Linked DNA regions of Daphnia pulex. The protein of the gene in region 1 purifies or fractionates together with the protein of each later gene. This does not show direct contact. Links are inferred from orthologs where the notes say so. Each region holds a gene or a part of one and is shown on either strand. Other genes may lie near its edges. The genes, in order: cell growth-regulating nucleolar protein-like, nucleolar GTP-binding protein 2-like and GTP-binding protein 4-like.

What was found.
Region 2: the proteins of cell growth-regulating nucleolar protein-like (region 1) and nucleolar GTP-binding protein 2-like purify together in Homo sapiens (affinity purification with mass spectrometry; 3 studies listed by BioGRID and IntAct, with this or other methods). This does not show direct contact. The link is inferred for Daphnia pulex from reciprocal best matches to the Homo sapiens genes LYAR and GNL2.
Region 3: the proteins of cell growth-regulating nucleolar protein-like (region 1) and GTP-binding protein 4-like purify together in Homo sapiens (co-immunoprecipitation; 3 studies listed by BioGRID and IntAct, with this or other methods). This does not show direct contact. The link is inferred for Daphnia pulex from reciprocal best matches to the Homo sapiens genes LYAR and GTPBP4.

The regions. Positions count from the first base shown.
Region 1 is NC_060020.1:1,869,575-1,875,628, reverse strand, and holds cell growth-regulating nucleolar protein-like, read left to right. Parts: upstream 1-2,722; 5' UTR 2,723-2,819; coding exon 2,820-2,941; intron 2,942-3,018; coding exon 3,019-3,142; intron 3,143-3,201; coding exon 3,202-3,309; intron 3,310-3,369; coding exon 3,370-3,418; intron 3,419-3,486; coding exon 3,487-3,989; 3' UTR 3,990-4,888; intron 4,889-4,946; 3' UTR 4,947-5,195; intron 5,196-5,269; 3' UTR 5,270-5,624; downstream 5,625-6,054. Other genes in the region: mini-chromosome maintenance complex-binding protein-like, read left to right, coding at 170-227, 293-561, 624-716, 799-1,246, 1,307-1,430, 1,665-1,945, 2,016-2,533. UniProt on the Homo sapiens protein: Plays a role in the maintenance of the appropriate processing of 47S/45S pre-rRNA to 32S/30S pre-rRNAs and their subsequent processing to produce 18S and 28S rRNAs. Also acts at the level of transcription regulation.
Region 2 is NC_060028.1:1,710,694-1,716,503, reverse strand, and holds nucleolar GTP-binding protein 2-like, read left to right. Parts: upstream 1-1,953; 5' UTR 1,954-2,104; intron 2,105-2,172; 5' UTR 2,173-2,196; coding exon 2,197-2,273; intron 2,274-2,329; coding exon 2,330-2,543; intron 2,544-2,618; coding exon 2,619-3,020; intron 3,021-3,082; coding exon 3,083-3,184; intron 3,185-3,245; coding exon 3,246-3,614; intron 3,615-3,678; coding exon 3,679-4,623; 3' UTR 4,624-4,803; downstream 4,804-5,810. Other genes in the region: protein trapped in endoderm-1-like, read left to right, coding at 1-291, 363-576, 648-968. UniProt on the Homo sapiens protein: GTPase that associates with pre-60S ribosomal subunits in the nucleolus and is required for their nuclear export and maturation.
Region 3 is NC_060026.1:14,944,965-14,950,944, forward strand, and holds GTP-binding protein 4-like, read right to left. Parts: upstream 3,684-5,980; 5' UTR 3,542-3,683; coding exon 3,491-3,541; intron 3,425-3,490; coding exon 1,574-3,424; 3' UTR 1,221-1,573; downstream 1-1,220. Other genes in the region: zinc finger protein 271-like, read left to right, coding at 1-214, 398-548, 646-791; uncharacterized protein LOC124204378, read left to right, coding at 4,192-4,395, 4,465-4,744, 4,837-5,321; uncharacterized protein LOC124204377, read right to left, coding at 5,708-5,832, 5,898-5,980. UniProt on the Homo sapiens protein: Involved in the biogenesis of the 60S ribosomal subunit. Acts as a TP53 repressor, preventing TP53 stabilization and cell cycle arrest.

The DNA.
Region 1 (6,054 bases):
GGTGGCGGTAATTTCTTGCGAAGAACTTGATTTAACGTAAGCAGCAGAACACGAGAGAAAAAAAAAATCGACATAAAAGAGCTAGGCGGGAAACACTTGGTCTTGACTCTTGATAGCTAGATCGTTTTTCTATATATATTTTCAGAAGTCGTTGCTTTTAGAAATCATCATGCCTTCTTTGGATAATTGGATTGAAAAACCTCAAGAGATCATTCAGAAAATCTATGGTAAGTTTTTTTTGTTAAATTATACCATAATATTATGGTTATTGAATATTAAGATGTTTCAACAGAGAAACATAGTGGCAGTTCACCTTGGGAAAAAGAAGTAGATGACTACTTCACATCAAGATTGACCAATACAGAAACTTGGACTTCTATTCCATCGCTGAATGAAGTTTTAATTAAAGATCTCAGACATGGACAGTTGGTCAGATTTCGTGGCATGTTTCAAGATCAACTTGGTCCTGAGATGTATGGCTCTGGTGCTCTTGTAAAGAACACAACTTCAGGAAGTCAGAAAAATGTTACTGGAAAATTCAAGGATGAACTTTGTCTTGGAGTAAGAAATATTCAAAGTTGTGACAGTTTGCAGTTTCTGATTACTTAAATTAATGTTATTAGCTTGATGAAGAAGTTGTCAACTGGAACACCACAGAAAGCAGATCTTGCTATTACTGTGTACCAATACCTGGTGAAACTCCTTGGGTCAAACAAATATCCTTTTTCCTATACCAGTTTTTGCTGTCTTGGTCTATTGAAAATATTTCCCCTTTTTTTCCTTAACTAAATGTTATACATCTTCAGAGAGAAAAATAGTTTGTCTGGCCTGCAGCCTTCTAGACCTGTATCGATTGGGAAAAAGCGGCCCTTGGAAGAAGAAGATGACAATGAGATGATGGATCTAGGTGAATCCAATAAGCGGCCTTGTCCTTTAACAAACGCCAACCCATCAATGAGTGTTACCAATGGAAATTTGGACAAAATTCTAAATTTTCCTCTTCCGTCATCCGAATCTGTAGGCTGTATAGTTAAAATATACAGCGAAGATGAGGTGCCACTAAACGATGTTCTAGAAGTGGTAGGTGTCCTTTCCTTTAATACCCCAGGCGTCTCTGATGATGAAGAACGCGAAGATTTCCAGCCTCCTTCGTCGATTGTCCCACGAATTCACTGCATTGGTTCTCAAAAATGGCAACATAATAACCCATACATCATCTCATACAGCGGCCAGAAATGGAATGAAGGTTTGCAATCATTATGAAACTATTTTTTTTTCTTTAAATAAATCATTAATATTTTCCCAGAATCAGCGGCTGTGGTCGAGTTGTCCGCTACCATTCGAGATGAATTGCATGGTTTGTTTACTGAGTTCTTCTTGGGGGACAGTCTCGCTGCTGATTATTTGCTGTGTCATTTGATGTCACGCGTGTAAGTTGACCCTTGTTTTCTTAGATATTTATTATTCTGGCTCAGTATTGCAGCTACCGACTGACTATGCCGTTCATTTGCAATACTATAGCCTAGACTAAAACTTGTCTAATCAGGTGGAGGTCAAACGAAAGAATAATTTGCCTCTGTATGCTTGGACAAACAATCCAAAGATCTTACATTTATTCAACATACCATTACTAGACCGAAAGATTAATTTAGTTCTTGTAACAGGTACAACCGGAAAGATTCGTTAGCGCTTGGCAAATTGTCATTGAATTTAACAAACGTCCCCATAGACAATGCGGTTTTACAAGAAAGCTTTCCTCGTTTTTTGTTCAGTTTGTTAGAACGCTTAGTTACCAAAGCGCATTATTTGCCCATGTCTCTTGAAAATCTGAATACTCTGCGTATGATCCCTAAGAAAGATTACCAGGAAAATCGACTGATTGCCGGTTGTCTTCAACTGAGTTCACAAACGCACTTAGTTCTCGATGAGACAGCAATGACAGAAGGTAGTCCTAGTTTGAAAACAAATTATTATTAGCTTTCATTAATTCTCGGATTGCACTGTATTTTCTTCAGGTCAACTGATAGCAGATGGAGTGCGTAATGTAACTGCGATTGGAAACATATCTTCATGGCAGAAAATCGAATATGATTTCAATTATCATCAAGTGGAATTTCACACCGATATCCCCGTCCTGATACTATCCGAACGTCGCTCTATTGTTGCCACAGATGTAAACCTACCGCTAAGGTTGAACATGTCACGTGGCCGTCCGTTCGCTGAACTCATTGAGAAATTGGAAACTAATGCTGAACTGCTCATGCAAATGAGAAATTATCTCACCGTAACCAGACTTTTGCCTTTCAAACTTAATGACGCCATTCAGGAGGCGGTTCAACAAGATTTTATTCAGAGTCGTGCTCCAGGTCAAGCTAATCCTATGTCCACTGAAGATTTCCACTTGTTGCTTGTTTTGTCTCGGTTGTTGGCCCTTACGTACGGTAAAACGGAGCTGCTGGACGTGTCTCTTTGGCAAAGAGCGAAGGCAATGGAAGCGGAACGTAAATCTCGCTTATCAAATTCCAGTCGTTGATATGCTATTATGTTGTGTATTTTTGTGATTTCTCATTTGTCTTAAAGGATTAAAAAATGGATGGATTTTTCATATGAGTCTAAAGTAAATTGCGCAAAGGCTACAAAAGTTTTATAATAGAAGTTACAGATCCTAAATTTTATCCGGCAACTATGCTCACACTAGCTTAAAGCGTCTGCTGTCTAGTGTCTAGTTTAGTTTCAACTACCTCCTACACGTGTGCGATCATTAGACATTAGTACACGAAGTAATAGTTGACAGTTGGCACCCTACTCCAATATTGGAAATGGTTTTTTTCGTTTGCAATGGATGTGGTACATCTGTAAAAAAAAACCAAGTGGAAAAGCATCAATATCAGTGTAGAAGGTCTCAACATCTGTCATGTGTAGATTGTTCTAAAGATTTTATGTAAGTAAAAACCAAATACAGTTAACAATTAGTGTCACAATTTCATTTAAAATATTTGAATTGCTTCAAAATTCTAGAGGAGAAGAATATAAATCACATATCAAGTGTGTGTCAGAAGAAGAAAAGTATTCAGCCAAAGGTTTTGTTCCTAAACCAAATCAGAACAAAAATGAAAGAAAACAAACTGAATGGGTGGAAATGGTAGATTCTGACTGTTTTTTAGTAAATATTAAAATGTATTATAATTTATGATTTACTAGGTGCAAAATTTGGTTGAGACTGTCGGAAACACAAATGATGAACTGAGCAGTGCTCTTCAACGCATTAGCCAATATGAAAATATCCCAAGGAAAAAGCCCAAGTTTATTGTAAGCAAATGTTGAGTTTTAAACCAATTGCAAAATGTTTATAATGTTATTCCTTTTCAGAATTTTTTGAAAAATGTTTTGGGAAATAGAGTACATCCAAGAACAATTGGTATAAACAAAGAAAAATTATTCATTATTGTTCATGTCAAAACTAATTTAATTTATAAATATATTTAGAACAATTGTGGGATGTAATTTCCAAAGCCCTCGAGGAACTACGTTTAAGCAAAGTGGTACCACCGAATACCAATATCAAAGCGAAAGCATTGGAAGAAACGGGAAAGACCTCTACTGAAGAAAATGGAATCAAAAGGAAGAATGATATTGAAAATGAAATCCCTGCCAATGGAAACAAGAAAAGAAAGAAGGAAGCTGTGCAATCGCAAGAGGATGAAATTCGCAAACAAGCGAACGATACTATAAATTCCGTTGGGGAAGCCGAGCAATCTGCTAAAGTTAAATGGTGTACGATTGGCAAGATTATTCTGCGCGCCCAGGATGACAAGGAATTGTCGTTGAAGAAGTTTCAGAAAAAAATCATTGGAGAATATTTACAGCGAATGGCGGATGCACTAAGTGCTGATGAGTCTGTTGAGGTCTTGTGGTCTAAGTGTCAAAAGAAACTTTCAAAAAATCCAAAATTTAAGATTCACAAAGACAAAATAAAGCTTGTCTCATGATGCAGTTGTCTGTGATGACGAGATCGACTTACCAATTAAACGATCTATTTACTTGTTAGCCAATATCTTTTTTTTCGTGGTAAAGTCCTTATAACATTTAATCTTTCTTATTCTCTTATCTTGTCTAATACTTCGAGATCGATTAACCTCATTGGTTCCCCGAAACCGAAAAGGCCGAAACAAAAAAAAATCTCCTGTAGAAAAAAAAAGGCGGAATGCAAAAACTTATCATAATCTTGTTTTTCTTTCAGCCTCGTCAAATATTTCGAATTTCGAAAGGATGCTGAAATAAAAAAAAAAAGATAAAGGATTTTATACTTGCGTTGCGGTTTTTGGTTTTTGGCATACAGCAAGATAAACTTTCTGTATTGCAATGACTAGGGCAGCTAGGCCGTAGGCCCATTAATTCAACGATCGAAAATTGACGAATAGAAATTTATAAATTTAAGGATTTATCCTACTCTCTTCGTCTCATCACAGATAAAGACCACTTCTCTTTTCTTCTTTATTCCTTCTTTATCCTTCTTTATTCTTTACACCACTTGTCTTCTTTACCTATGGTCTCATCTCATGCTCATGACTGAATCAGTCGCAACCTCTGGTCGCACCGTATTTCTTTATAACTAATTAACTATATTGCATTTACATGAGTTATACCATAGCTCTGTCTCTGATCACTTGCACTGTTTTTTTAAATCATTATTTAATCACTTGGAATCACTTCAAATAAAAATAAAATGATAGGCCTAAATCATTAGTGGTTCGAATATGGCAACTTCGCATACTAGAAAATTCTGATGTAAAGTTGTCTGCTGTTCTTTGGCATTACCACGTGCATTTAACGTCAAGTTTGGTTCTTGTTCTTGGCTTAGTCTTGCAAGTTGTACCGGAGTCCAGAGGTAGGAGATAAAATATTATATTACAATGTGATGTTTCTTACGCTTTTATATTAACTAGTCTTTGAATATACACGTTCTATTGATTCAGAATTCTACATAGTTCATCATGGTTCGTCATGGAAAACACTCACACGCAAAACCTGACCAAAGCGCCGAAGAAAGAAAAGAAGTATGGGTTTCTATGGTTGAAAAATTAATCAAATCAGTTGGTGATTCTGATGAAGATTTGACAATCGCCCTCGAAAAAATTTCTCGAGCGAAAAAAGTTCCAAGGAGGTGGTTAAACTTAAACAAACCAAAGTTTGTGGTAAAAGAAAAGTGCTTTTTATAGTTTGGGAAATAAGTTCCTAACCAAAAGATTTTATGGGTTTTGATTTCTAGAGCTTTTTGAAGTATCTCCGATATAAAATTACTCCAAGTGTTGTTGACCAGCTGTGGGAATTGTTTTCCAAATCCATAGATGTGGAAAGGAAAAAAGAAATCAAGAGAAACACTAAACCAATTAAAACAGGAAATACAGATGGGAAAATTGATGAAAAAGAAGTTACGATTGAAGAAAAAATGGAAAATTGATACAACACAAAATTTCATAAGAAATGATTGAATAATGTCCGAACTCTGAAATGGAATTTTTTTATGATTTGGTATGACAATATCATGCTTGTCTCACGTCTCACGATGCTCTCGTCTGTACTGATGAGATCGGATTATCTAGTAAACGACCAATTTACTTGTATTTGTTTTTTGTTTATTACTCCAATAGATTTTTGCGATTATCCACCTGAATATCTTAGCAAACTCACGGGGTTTCTTGCTCAAAATAGTTGAATTTTACATACAGTTGATTGGCAATTCTAAAATGGGTGTCCCTAAACTATGGACTTGGACAGTCCATTTTGGACTACTAAACTATGGACTTCGATCGAAAACTATGGACTTCACCAGATGGCGCTGCCTGTCCGAAACTATGGACTTAGGGACCTAAAATATGGACTTTAACCTGCAGAAACTATGGACTCCATCAGATGGCGTTATATCCGAAACACTGGACTTGGCGTCTAAAGTATGGACTTTAAATGTATAAACTTGGCTTAGATCCGAATATTTTCGCTTAAGTTTTAAACGGTTCAATGAATATATCTTTTAATTAAATTTAAGCAAACCAC
Region 2 (5,810 bases), on another chromosome or scaffold:
GCCGTCTTGGTACGACAAGATCTACCGGCGCCCGCTGATCGTCTTGATGATCCTCGGCTCGTGGCTCTTCAGCTTCCTGATGATGACGCCACCGCTGCTGGGCATCTGGGGCGACCTGGGCCTCAATCCCGCCACTTTCTCCTGCACCATCCTGCCGGGGGAGAATGGCAAGTCGCCGAAAAAGTTCTTTTTCGCTTTCGGCTTTCTCATCCCCTGTCTGACCATCATCGTCTCCTACACGTGCATCTTCGTCAAAGTCAAACAGTCCAGACGCAACGTCATGGCCCACAGGTAAATCAATAAATTGCCCATTTAAATTTTGGCGGGAAATTAAAAAAAAATGGGTTTCATTTGAATTTCAGCCCCGGAACGAGTGGTGGCAACAACAGAGCGGAAGAGCATCAGGCCAATGTTCCGGTGATGAAATCGGTGAATAAAAAGCCGGGCAAGAAGAGCACGTCGGAGAAGCACCAGAGACGGGATGACCTGCGACTCACCCGTATGATGCTTATCATCTTTTGCTGCTTCCTCCTCTGCTTCCTGCCGCTCATGGTGGTCAACGTGGCCGACGACGAGGTTCGTGTGAACAAAAATTATCATTGTGATTGGGATGATTTGATTTGATTTTTAATTTCTTAATTCCATAGAAAAAGACAAAAGTGCCAGTCATTCACGTGATGGCCTCCATCCTGGCCTGGGCGTCCAGTGTCATCAACCCGTTCATCTACGCGTTTTCCAACCGGCAGTACCGATCGGCCTACCGCCAGCTCCTCTGCGGATCTTCGCGCTCGGCCCGGCTGACCTCGCAGACTCAAACGTCGCGCTCTTCCGGCCGCACTTTCCTCACCGACATGCTCCATTACACGGCTCACGCCGAAAAGGTCAAAGTCATCCGATCCACCACCAACACGACGACCAACAATGCCAACCACAAAGAAGATGGCGATCAGCAGCTGGCCAGGGCTTGAAATGAACGAATAAAATGCGCAATCTAGACATTTCCGCCATTTTAAAAATTAATTAAATTGGCCAGGGAAAATCACAAAATTTGAACCCAGTGTACATATGCGTTGTTCTCTCTTTCATTTGTTTAGATGTAGAACAGAATGGGAATTTTTTCTTTTTTAAAATATTTCTGCGCGATTTTTTGCTATCGACTTTTGTTTGTTTTTTAAATCCAATGCGGAAATTTTTGAATTTTTTTTTTGTTTGGTGGGAAAAATTGCCGAAATGTCATTGAGATGTCGCATGAAATTATTACCATGTCTTTTATACTACATGTATTCTCCTGGCAGAGAAAGAAGCCGCCGACGGGCGAGAGAACTTCATTTACATTTTTAGCACATCATATCGAAAAGCAGACAACAAAAAGAAAAGAAAAAAAGAAATATGAAAGATAGAAAAATTTTCAAAAAAGACAAGTTTGTGTGTGTGTGTTTTTTTTTAAATATTTCTTGTGTCTTGTACGCACGGTTCCTCGTAAATGATGTTGTATACACATTTCATGTAACTTCACGACTCGGAAATTTTTAAATTTCTTTTATAACTGTGTGTGTTCGTATACAAGTGCATGTATACTATATTGGTTGATTTTTTTTTAAAGAAAGAAGGAGAAAAATATTATCGAACCCGCCTATATAATCCTTATAGGGATGGAGAGGATTCAAAGTGGTTTTTTTTGTGTGTTGGTTGGTCGGTCAATGACACGCAGAGTTAAAAAAAAAAGAAGAGGATGTGATTTGTGTTCCGATAAGTAATAAGCTGTTACCAAAGGGATAGGCTGAGCTAGTCAAACAGGTTTTTTCTTTAGTCATTCTGCCACTGGGCATTTTACGTCGATAGGCGACATGGAATGATAATTTTTTTTTTTTACTATGTGAATTTTTTACCGCTAGATGGCAGCACGTTTTAACTTTGGAATTTGTTCCTAGATGTCAGCTCAAATAGCAGACGTTTTCTTGAGAGACTTTTCACGACAACACGTGTGAAAAGAAGTACGAAAAGTTGTACGCTTTAAAGTTTATGACAAATTTTGTTTTTTTATAAAAGTAGTTTGCATTTGATCTGTTTACGTTACAGATATTGAAGCTACTGATTCTGAGTGGTAGGTCGTATATTTATTTTCAGTATTTTCGTGTTTTGAATAGCAATGTTTTCAAATGTTAAAAACAGGTTTAAGCATCGTACTTCCTCAAAATGGCTAGGACTGTCCGTAAGACCGATCCGGTCAAAAAGGCCGGACGAAAAGATGGATTTAACCGATCCGGACACAGGTTTGTTATTTGTCACTAATATACTAAATGTTTGCTAATAAAATCTTCTGATGCAGTATGAACCCAGATCGAAAAATTTCTGGTCTGAGGGGAGTGAGCAAGGCAAGAGATAAGGCCACAATCAAACGATTGCAGATGTACCGTAACTTTAAGGCCAAGCGTGATGAATCAGGCAAAGTCATCCGCCCAGCACCTTTTCAATCCAAATTTGCATCTGGTACTGTTGCACGTGTGGAACCTAACCGGCGCTGGTTTGGAAATGTCAGAGTGGTATGTGATCGTAATTACTACTTCACCATTTCTTTGATAGTGATCAAATATCTTAATCTACGTGACTATATTTAGGTTGGCCAATCAGCACTCCAGAAATTCCAAGAAGAACTTGGACAGGCCATCAAGGATCCCTATCAAGTAGTAATGCGTCAGACAAAGCTGCCCATCACTCTGCTGAAGGAATCCTCTAAATTCGCAAGAGTTCACTTGCTGGAAACTGAAAGCTTTGAAAACACTTTTGGCCCCAAGAAACAGCGAAAGCGGCCGAGCCTTGCCACCGGTGACTTGGACAGCTACGTATCCTCAGCCCAAAAATTCGGTGACGGTTACGAAATCGAAAAGGACGGAGCTTTGGTTCGTGATCTGCCAGACGATCGCGAACTGACTCGAGAGTGGATCATGAAGGCTGGCCTCAGCAAACGAATCTGGGGAGAATTGTACAAAGTGATTGACTGCTCGGACGTCATTATCCAGGTATTGAATTATACCAAATCATTTATTTGAGTTCAATTGTACTAAATGTTTAATTTGAAAAGGTTTTGGACGCCCGTGATCCTTTGGGAACTCGATGCAAGCAAGTCGAAGCTTATATCCGTAAAGAAAAAAGCCACAAGCAATTGTTTTTCGTGCTCAACAAGGTAAGCAAAGTCATTCCCAAGATAATTTAGACCCCTGGCCTCATTCCATGCTTCTTTCTAGGTGGATTTGGTACCAACTTGGATTACCCAACGTTGGGTCAAGACGCTCAGCTCCGAGTACCCCACCATGGCCTTCCGTTCTTCGATGACCCATCCCTTTGGTAAAGGTTCGTTGATCAATTTGCTGCGCCAGTTCGGCAAGCTTCACAGCGACAAGAAACAAATCAGCGTGGGTTTCATCGGCTACCCGAATGTTGGAAAATCGTCCGTCATCAATACCCTGCGCAGCAAGAAAGTCTGCAAGGTGGCGCCCATCGCCGGTGAGACCAAAGTCTGGCAGTACATCACGCTGATGCGTCGAATCTTCCTCATCGACTGCCCGGGAGTTGTATTTCCCACCGGAGAGACGGACGAGGAAAAAGTGTTGAAGGTAAACCGATCGCAATTTGATTTACCTGATTGCAAATTCTAATACGATTGCTCTATTCTTTCAGGGTGTCGTTCAAGTGGAAAAGCTGAAAACGCCCGAAGACTTTATTCCAGCTGTGCTGGAACGGGTGAAGAAAGAGTATTTGAGCCGCGTCTACAGGTTGAACGACTGGAAAGATGCCACCGACTTTCTCGACCAGATGGCCCGCCGAACGGGCAGGCTGCTAAAGGGTGGAGAACCGGACAACAACGCCGTGGCCCGAATGGTCTTGAACGATTGGCAGCGAGGCAAATTGCCTTTCTTCGTCGCCCCTGTCAATCCGGATGCGGCCAAAGTGGAGGAGAAAACCGAAGGAGATGCCACAGCCGCCGCTGTTGAAGAGTCGGGAGAGGAGACTGAAAAGGACAAGAAGAAATTCGAGCCCAGATTGGCCCAGGATTTCAGTAAAATTCGGGTGGATCTGAAATACGAAGGTGACGACGTCCAGCCTTTGGAGGCCCAGCCGGACTTCATGGACGACCCTTCGGCCGACGAAGCGGAAGACGATGAAGACGCAGAGGAGAATGTGGCCACCGACAAAGCGACGGAAGAGTCGAAATCGGCTGATGTGTCCAAAGGGGAAGACCACGAAGGTCTCGACGACGAGGAAGACGATTACGAGGATGAGATGGACGAAGAAGAAGAGGAAGATAGCGACGTGGATGCGGCGGCCAAGAAGAAACAAGCCAAGACCCTGAAACTCAAAGCGAGAACCATCACCAAGAGCGGGGCCTTTTCCGTGACGCCCACGTCGCGATCGACCAAGAAAGGAGGCGGCGGTGACGAGGACGACCGACCGGAAAACCCGCGCTGGAAGCTGACTTCGAGAGAGAGGAGAAAGATCGATCGCGATCAGAAAAAGAAGAAGATCGGCACTCACTTTTACGAAGTGGTCAACGTCAAAAACAAGTCGAAGAAGAAGGGTTTCTTGGAGATGGCCAAGGCCTTTAGGGGTCACTGTAAGAAGTAGTGTGGGAGTTGCTTTTGTGATTGTCTAATCTTCTTTATGAGCTGATTATAACGATTGATTGATTCTAATTGCCACCACGGGCCGATACACACATTCTCGATTCTTCTCTTTCTCGCCGATTGATTCAGTTATTTTGAACATCTTTTATGTAAGTGGGGTCTGAAATAAAACGATGAAAATAGATGGGTATTTATTCGTAAACTTATTTTTCCAAGTTGAAATTATCGTGTTATGCGTTTCTTTTTTTAAAAACTTGTTTTATTAGCAGGTGTGGTTTAAACGAGGCTTTCTTTGATCAAATTTTAAAAGGAGAAACTATTATACTAAGTTCGTTGGAAGGCTAATTTCCTGAACCAGACCACAAAACAAATAGCATTTTGAGTTTTCTGGATAGATGTTGTATAAGCCTCGATAGCGCAGTAGGCAGCGCGCGAGTCTCATAATCTCGAGGTCGTGAGTTCGAACCTCACTCGGGGCAGTATTTTACGACCATTGTATCGTCAAAGTTGGATTCTGTTTTCATCTCGGGAGATTCTGTTACGTATATGCAACCCATATCTTCTTCTTCTCGAGGCTATTACTCAACATGAATATCCTCTTTGTGTGCTGATGGCTGATGGTATAAGTGAAATGATTTTTTCTTTCTATAAAACAGGAATAAATAACCCACCTACGTCTCATTCTAGACATGTACGTAAGCCTAAATATTGCTGGCTGCCTGATAACACAAAAATGCCTCGATTTTTTTTTTGCAGTATAGATAACATTGAGAATGAAAATTTATAATCTCCTATTAAGGATGACGGGGATTTTTCGTAAACTGAAGTAACACAGCAAATGTATTGACAGGAAAAGGAAAAAAGAATGACAGAAAATTTGTTGTAAACTGATTAATTCACCAATAATAATAAAGTAGGGCACAATTTCCCCTTGAATTGATTTGTCATTCCAAACTATCAAAATAATAAAATCAGGTTAGATTTTCACGCAATTGTGTCCTATAGGCCAGCTATATTCTCGTATTTATGCAGTCATTCCCCAAGCGAATTAATTCCCCAATTGAATTGACAAATAAGTATGCCTTTCAAATGTGTTTATTGGGCTGACTAAATTATATTTTAAACATTTTAAGTATTTGTTCTCTGCGCATTTATTTATAGGCATACAGGGGGATTCTCCTGTTACTG
Region 3 (5,980 bases), on another chromosome or scaffold:
TCCGGCTGATGATGACCCATCGGTGAAGAAGCGACCGGAACAAGTGTCGTCTAGTCCGACGTTGGATTCTCAGCGCACAGGATCGGCGGTGCCCCAAACACCAGCACGTAACCCACTGACGTTACTGGTTCAGTCTAGACAGCCGAGCCGATTGATTGCAACTTTCAAGGATAAAAACATCACAGCCGTGCCTCCCGGAAGTAAAAATTGGTCGGTGAGTATATAAGATAGCAACACAGTAAAACCAGTTTCCGGCCATTTGATGAAACTAGAAGCCAAATCTGTTCGTTCCGTCTGTCAAACGGCCTTGACTTGATAGCCAAAAAAAAAAATCTATTTGTCAATTAGATTAATGAGCTACGACTGACTAGAATAATTTTGATTTGTTTGAATTTAGTGCACTCAATGCGGCAAACAATTCCGGCGCTCCAGCACGCTGGCGACGCATCGCCTAATTCATTCCGGAGTCCGCCCCTTCAGCTGCCATTTCTGTTCCAAGAAATTCTATCAAAATTCTGATCTCAAAAAACACATCTTCGTTCACACAGGTTCTTACAAAAATTATTTTTCGCCCATCTTCCTTATTCATTTAATTCACCGCGATGACTTGACAAAAAATTGGTGTAATCTTTAATTATCCGACAGGTGAAAAGCCTTACCGATGCATACAATGCGGTAAAACCTTTAGCCAATCATCCAACTTGTTGACGCATCAACGAAGACACGCCGGAACTCATCCGGGCCGTCGACGCGTAGCCACTCAAGCGACTCAACCGCAAGTCTACAGTTAAAATTTCTTTAAAAGATTAAAAAAAGAAAGCTGCAACAACTTGAAAGAAAAAGTTCCGGCCTTTCACCCCAATTGTGAGACAAACAAACAACTAAATCAAAAACAAAACAAAAAATCCAAGCGTCAGAGACCCCATTCGACTTGTTTTGATGTTGTTGTTGTTGTTTACTTGGCCCTTATTTGGCGATATGTGCAAAAATGTAAGGGAAGGTTACGCAGGTCTCTCTCTCTCTCTCTTTTGTTTGCGTCACAGAGTGCGCGATTCTAACCCAAGGCAACAAGTTGTTTACAAAAGTTTCAATCTTTTTGGCTTGGTGCCCATTTTCAAATAAACAAGACCCCAGAGCGCGTCGGATCACCAAGTTTTTCCTTTTCGTTATTTAAAAAAAAACTTATGTAAAATACTCAATAAATTATTGAAATTCAAAACTTTTTATCGAGACTGACGCCAACACGGTGTACTATTTTTCTTTCATTGAAATATTTTCCACAGCGGTCGAATTAATAAACAAAACACGCTGAAAAGAAAAACACAACAATTAAAGAGTACACATGAACCGAGAGAGGGCTGGAAGTGGCACATTTAAAACAAAAAAGCACAGGACCTTTTTTTGAGAATTGATGAACTCAGCAGGCAATCAGGGACTTTTGATGTGATAAGACGTCATATTCAACCTTGGCCTCTCCAACAAACTCCAGGAGCCGGGGCATCAGTCTCGTTGGATTCCTCTTCTTCGTAATCGTTTCGGATGTTGTTTTTAATTCTTACAATTTCTCTGTCTTTTAACGGCGATCGGTTTTACCAATGCCGCGCTTGCCGGAGTAAAGATGTCTGGGCATCTTGACTGCAATGTGTCGATCGGCTTCACCAGCCTTACCGAATTGATTCATCTTGCCCTGAGCTTTGTGACCCATCTTCTTGGCCTTGGCCTTGAGCTCAACGTTGCGGATGCCCGACTGGTCGCGCGGAGTGACGCGAGACGACGAGCTGACGCGTCCGGCAGAATCGGCGCGGGCCTTCTTGATGGGCGGACGGCTGGCCGAGCGCGATTTAGTGCGAGAGAAGTGAGCGCCACTCTTGTTGCTCATGTCGACGCCGAGTTCCTCGAACTCGGAGCGCAGACGGCTGACGGAACGCTCGCGCTTGCGTCCAGCGCGAGGCATCACGGGGGCACCTCCGCTGCGACCGATGCGACCCTCGATGGCGATGATGGCCTTCTTCTCGCGAATCTTGCCAGCTAACCGGTGGATCTCCTTCTCTTCATCGTCCATCTCTTCTTCCTCCTTTTCGTAGACTCCGGATTCAACCCGCAGCTCTTCCTCGCGCTCCAGCTCCTCCAGCTTGGCCATGATGTCAGGGTCGATGTAGTCGGCGATGTTCTTGCCTTCCCAGAATTCAGGAATGACGTCGTATTTGAAGTCGGCCGGAAGGTCGTAATTCTTTTTCAAATCCAGCGAGTAATCATCTTCCAGCTCAACCTCGAGATCGCGTTCCGTCTTCTTCTTGATCTTGGGTCCCTTCTCCAGACGTTTTTCAATCACCTTCTCGGGCACGAAGGCCGGACGTGTGCATCCGTCGCGAGGTTTAGGCAGAGCCACGTGCAGTCGGTTGAGAATGCCTTCCACCTTCTTGCTCTTGATCTTCACCTCGATTCTGTGGGACAGCAAACGTTCGCAGGCTTCCGTTTTGACATTCATCACTCCTTCTTCGCTGAATGTCGACATTTCCATAACGGGGATGTCGTCATTAATGAAACCTTGAATCAAGGCCTTTTGTTCAGGATTCAGCTCCTCCAGACGGATGACATCTGTCTTGTTCAGCACCACGAGCAATGGCTTGTTGGCAAAGAGAGGCTTGATGCTCTCAAAGAGTGCCACTTGCTGTTCGATGGTGTGACCACATTGCTCTGAAATGTCCATGACGTAGAGGATAGCAGCTCTCAGATGGGCCAAGGCAGCAATGGCCTGCATTTCAATGGTGTTACGATCTTCAAGAGGGTGATCCAAAATTCCTGGGGTGTCCACCACCTGCCAACGCAGGTAGCGATGATCAGTATGCCCGACAAAGAGCGACTTGGTCGTGAAAGCGTAAGGCTGGACTTCAACATCTGCCCTAGTGATCTTGTTGATGAAGCTGGATTTGCCGACATTGGGGAATCCACAGATAAGCAGTGTCCGGGTATTTGGGTCAATGGAAGGCAGACGGGAGAGATGCTGCCTGACCTGCTCCAGATATTGAAGACTCTGCGCTTGCCTCTTCATGATGGTGGCCATGCGACCCAAGGCTGCCTTCTTGAGCTGCTTGCAGCGGTACAGGGAGTCACCGTACTTGAGAAGACGGACATAATCTTTGGAGACATTGTCAATCAAATGCAGGGCAATGTTGATCTGACCAAGAGCTAATTTGTAATGATCCTTGTCGTAGAGAACATTCATCAAATCAGCATAGAAGGGATGAATATCGTCCAGCTTGGGGAAATCGGTCAGAATGGTGGACAATTTGTCATGAAAGGTCTGCTGGGAAAACTTGACTTTGCGCATGTAGAATTGACGGATACGAGAAATCTTGTACTGCTTGTGGACTACAGTTGGCGTCTTTCGTTGAGTTTTCGACAAGACGATGTCGATAAAATCCTGTGAAGTTAGCGAAACGTTAGCTGGCCCATCCAACAAGTAATGAAATATCTGCGTTTAATTTACCTTCGCCGTCGGAACGATGACAATCTTTTTGAAATTGTATTGCGACGTCATTTTGTTGATGGTAAGAGTGTCGCACTATTGAAAATTACACGTTTTTCAGAGAAATTCTCTGAAATATTCAGCAATGGCGCAGCCCACTGCTCACACGTGCAACGAAAAGAAAGAAGACACAAGAAAATCGGACATCTAGTGGTAGACTTTTATTCTCTTACTCTTTGCATCACTAGCGGCATCTATCAACATAATCTGCATAGAATTTGAATCGAGTTTTTTAAATTTTTTACTATTCTTTTGCATCAAACTTACTATTCATGTATTCAAAGATTAAGAAAAACAAAAATAAGGATAAATGTATTTACCGTTTACTTCATTTCAGCTCGAATATTTAGAAACGAAAGAAAAAGCTTTTATGCGGGAAACAAAATATACCACGATGGGGCTCAACCACGATATTTAAGTGCATGTGAATCCCCGCTCCTTATCGTGCTTGTATATAATACAAAACAAATATTTGCACAACAGAATTTACAGCCAGGATCCAAAATTTAAAATGTCAGTTTTAATCAGCGGGTGAGTTTTTCAAATAAGATAATGTAATGTAAACTCGATGTAGTGTTTATACAAGGTATAAGAAACCGAGTCCTATAAAATACGACGCAATCGTGCAACGCAATAGCTCAGTCTAAAAATTTGTGTAAAAAATGTCTCGTTTCTCAGTCGGTGTCAGTTTGATATTCATTTTAGGTTGCGGCGCGATTTGTTCTTCCGCTTCTGCCACCTATTCCTTAGAAGACAAATTGAAAGAATTAGAATCGAGACTCGAAACGAAAATCGATTTATTAGAGTCTAAAAATAGAGAACTTGAAGAAAAGGTGACGCAACTGGGGACCCAATTAGAACGAAATGTAAGTTTCTAAACAGATTCATCTTGTTATTTTCCTCCAATAGATTAAATACAATTTGATTTACACTAGAATGAAAGTAGAGACGAATTGGCTCTACAAGTTATCGAATTGAAAACTAAAGTTCAAGAACAAGACAAAGTTTTATCCGTCCTATTGAGAGAAAAGAAGGCAGATTCAGATGTTTCGATCAACATTAATAATCAATCACCCGTGGCTGTCAATGGATTGCCATCTTCGTGTGCAGATCTCAAAAGCATGGGCCACATCTGGAACGGATTTTATTCCGTTATGGGAAATACAACGATGGAATCCGTTTACTGCGATTTCACTAAACCCCCAAGCGATGCGGGTAATTTTGATTATTCTGCGTACTGTATGTTTTGTTGTAATCATCAATATTTTTTTAATATTTTTTATTATGATTTACTTTATTTGGAAAAGGTTTCCAAAAATGGATCGGATACAACGGCGTCAAATCAGCACCCGTCTATTTCCACGCTACGAGATCTTATAGTTTTAACACAATTGGACTCCCAATTAACTACACTTACATACCGTTGAACGTAGGAAATGCTATGGATGGGGCATCAGGAATATTCACGGCCCCACGATCGGGAGTTTATTTCTTCGCCTTCACGGGACAGGTGGAGTTTCCAGCTTCATCCTCGCCTGATCGTGTAGTGTTACAAGTTATGCTTCAAAGTACACAGAGTGAAGTCGGGAGGATTGCAGTTACAGAAACCAACACCAACGCTTATCATAGGAGTTTACTAACTCTTCAGGCGACGGTGAACTTGAAATCAGGTGAACAAGTCTTGTTAAGGATTATCAACATTGATCCAGGAACTAATTTGAATGGCGACGGTTATCTCTGCACCTTTTTCACCGGTTTCCTGTTGGAGGAGGAAATTGCCGCGTCTGTTTAAATTCGCGCGTTTTTAAATTCATTTTAACGTCAGCAAATCAATTGCCGAATATGAATTTACGAATAAGAATGCTTACTTTGCATCCAGATTTTTGTTTCAAGTCCGTATTAAATTGATTATTTGTTTACCAACTGCAAAATAATAGGCGCAACCTAATTACAGATTTTCCCTACCCCATACGCATGCTTCTTATTACGTAATCCCATATGAATTGAGCCACAGACTTATTTCCATGACGTTTTCCTGGTGACATTCTTAACTGTTTTATTTTTTATTTCAGGCAATTTTGGGTAAATACAACAGTATGTGGTCAGATAAAAATGGGAAATAATTTAAAGGGATGATTAACAAACTTCCTGAAGTAGCCACATTCAATTGTTAGTAGTTTATAATTTGATTTGGTAATATCTCAGAGAAAATCCAATATTTCCAACATTGGCTGCATCCCGCGTGTCGGTTACTGTCTCGTCGCTGTTGGTGTTGTAGATGATTCTGTACGGCTTACTCTTGGCTGAAATATAACCAAAACATTTAAAATAATCAGTTCACAATTAGTAGTATTCCAGTTGTTCTTACTGCAGACAGTCGTCGACATGTTGCTCTTGGGCAAAACATTCAGTCTCTCGCCGCAGTAACGGTCACGTAAATTTGCCGGACTG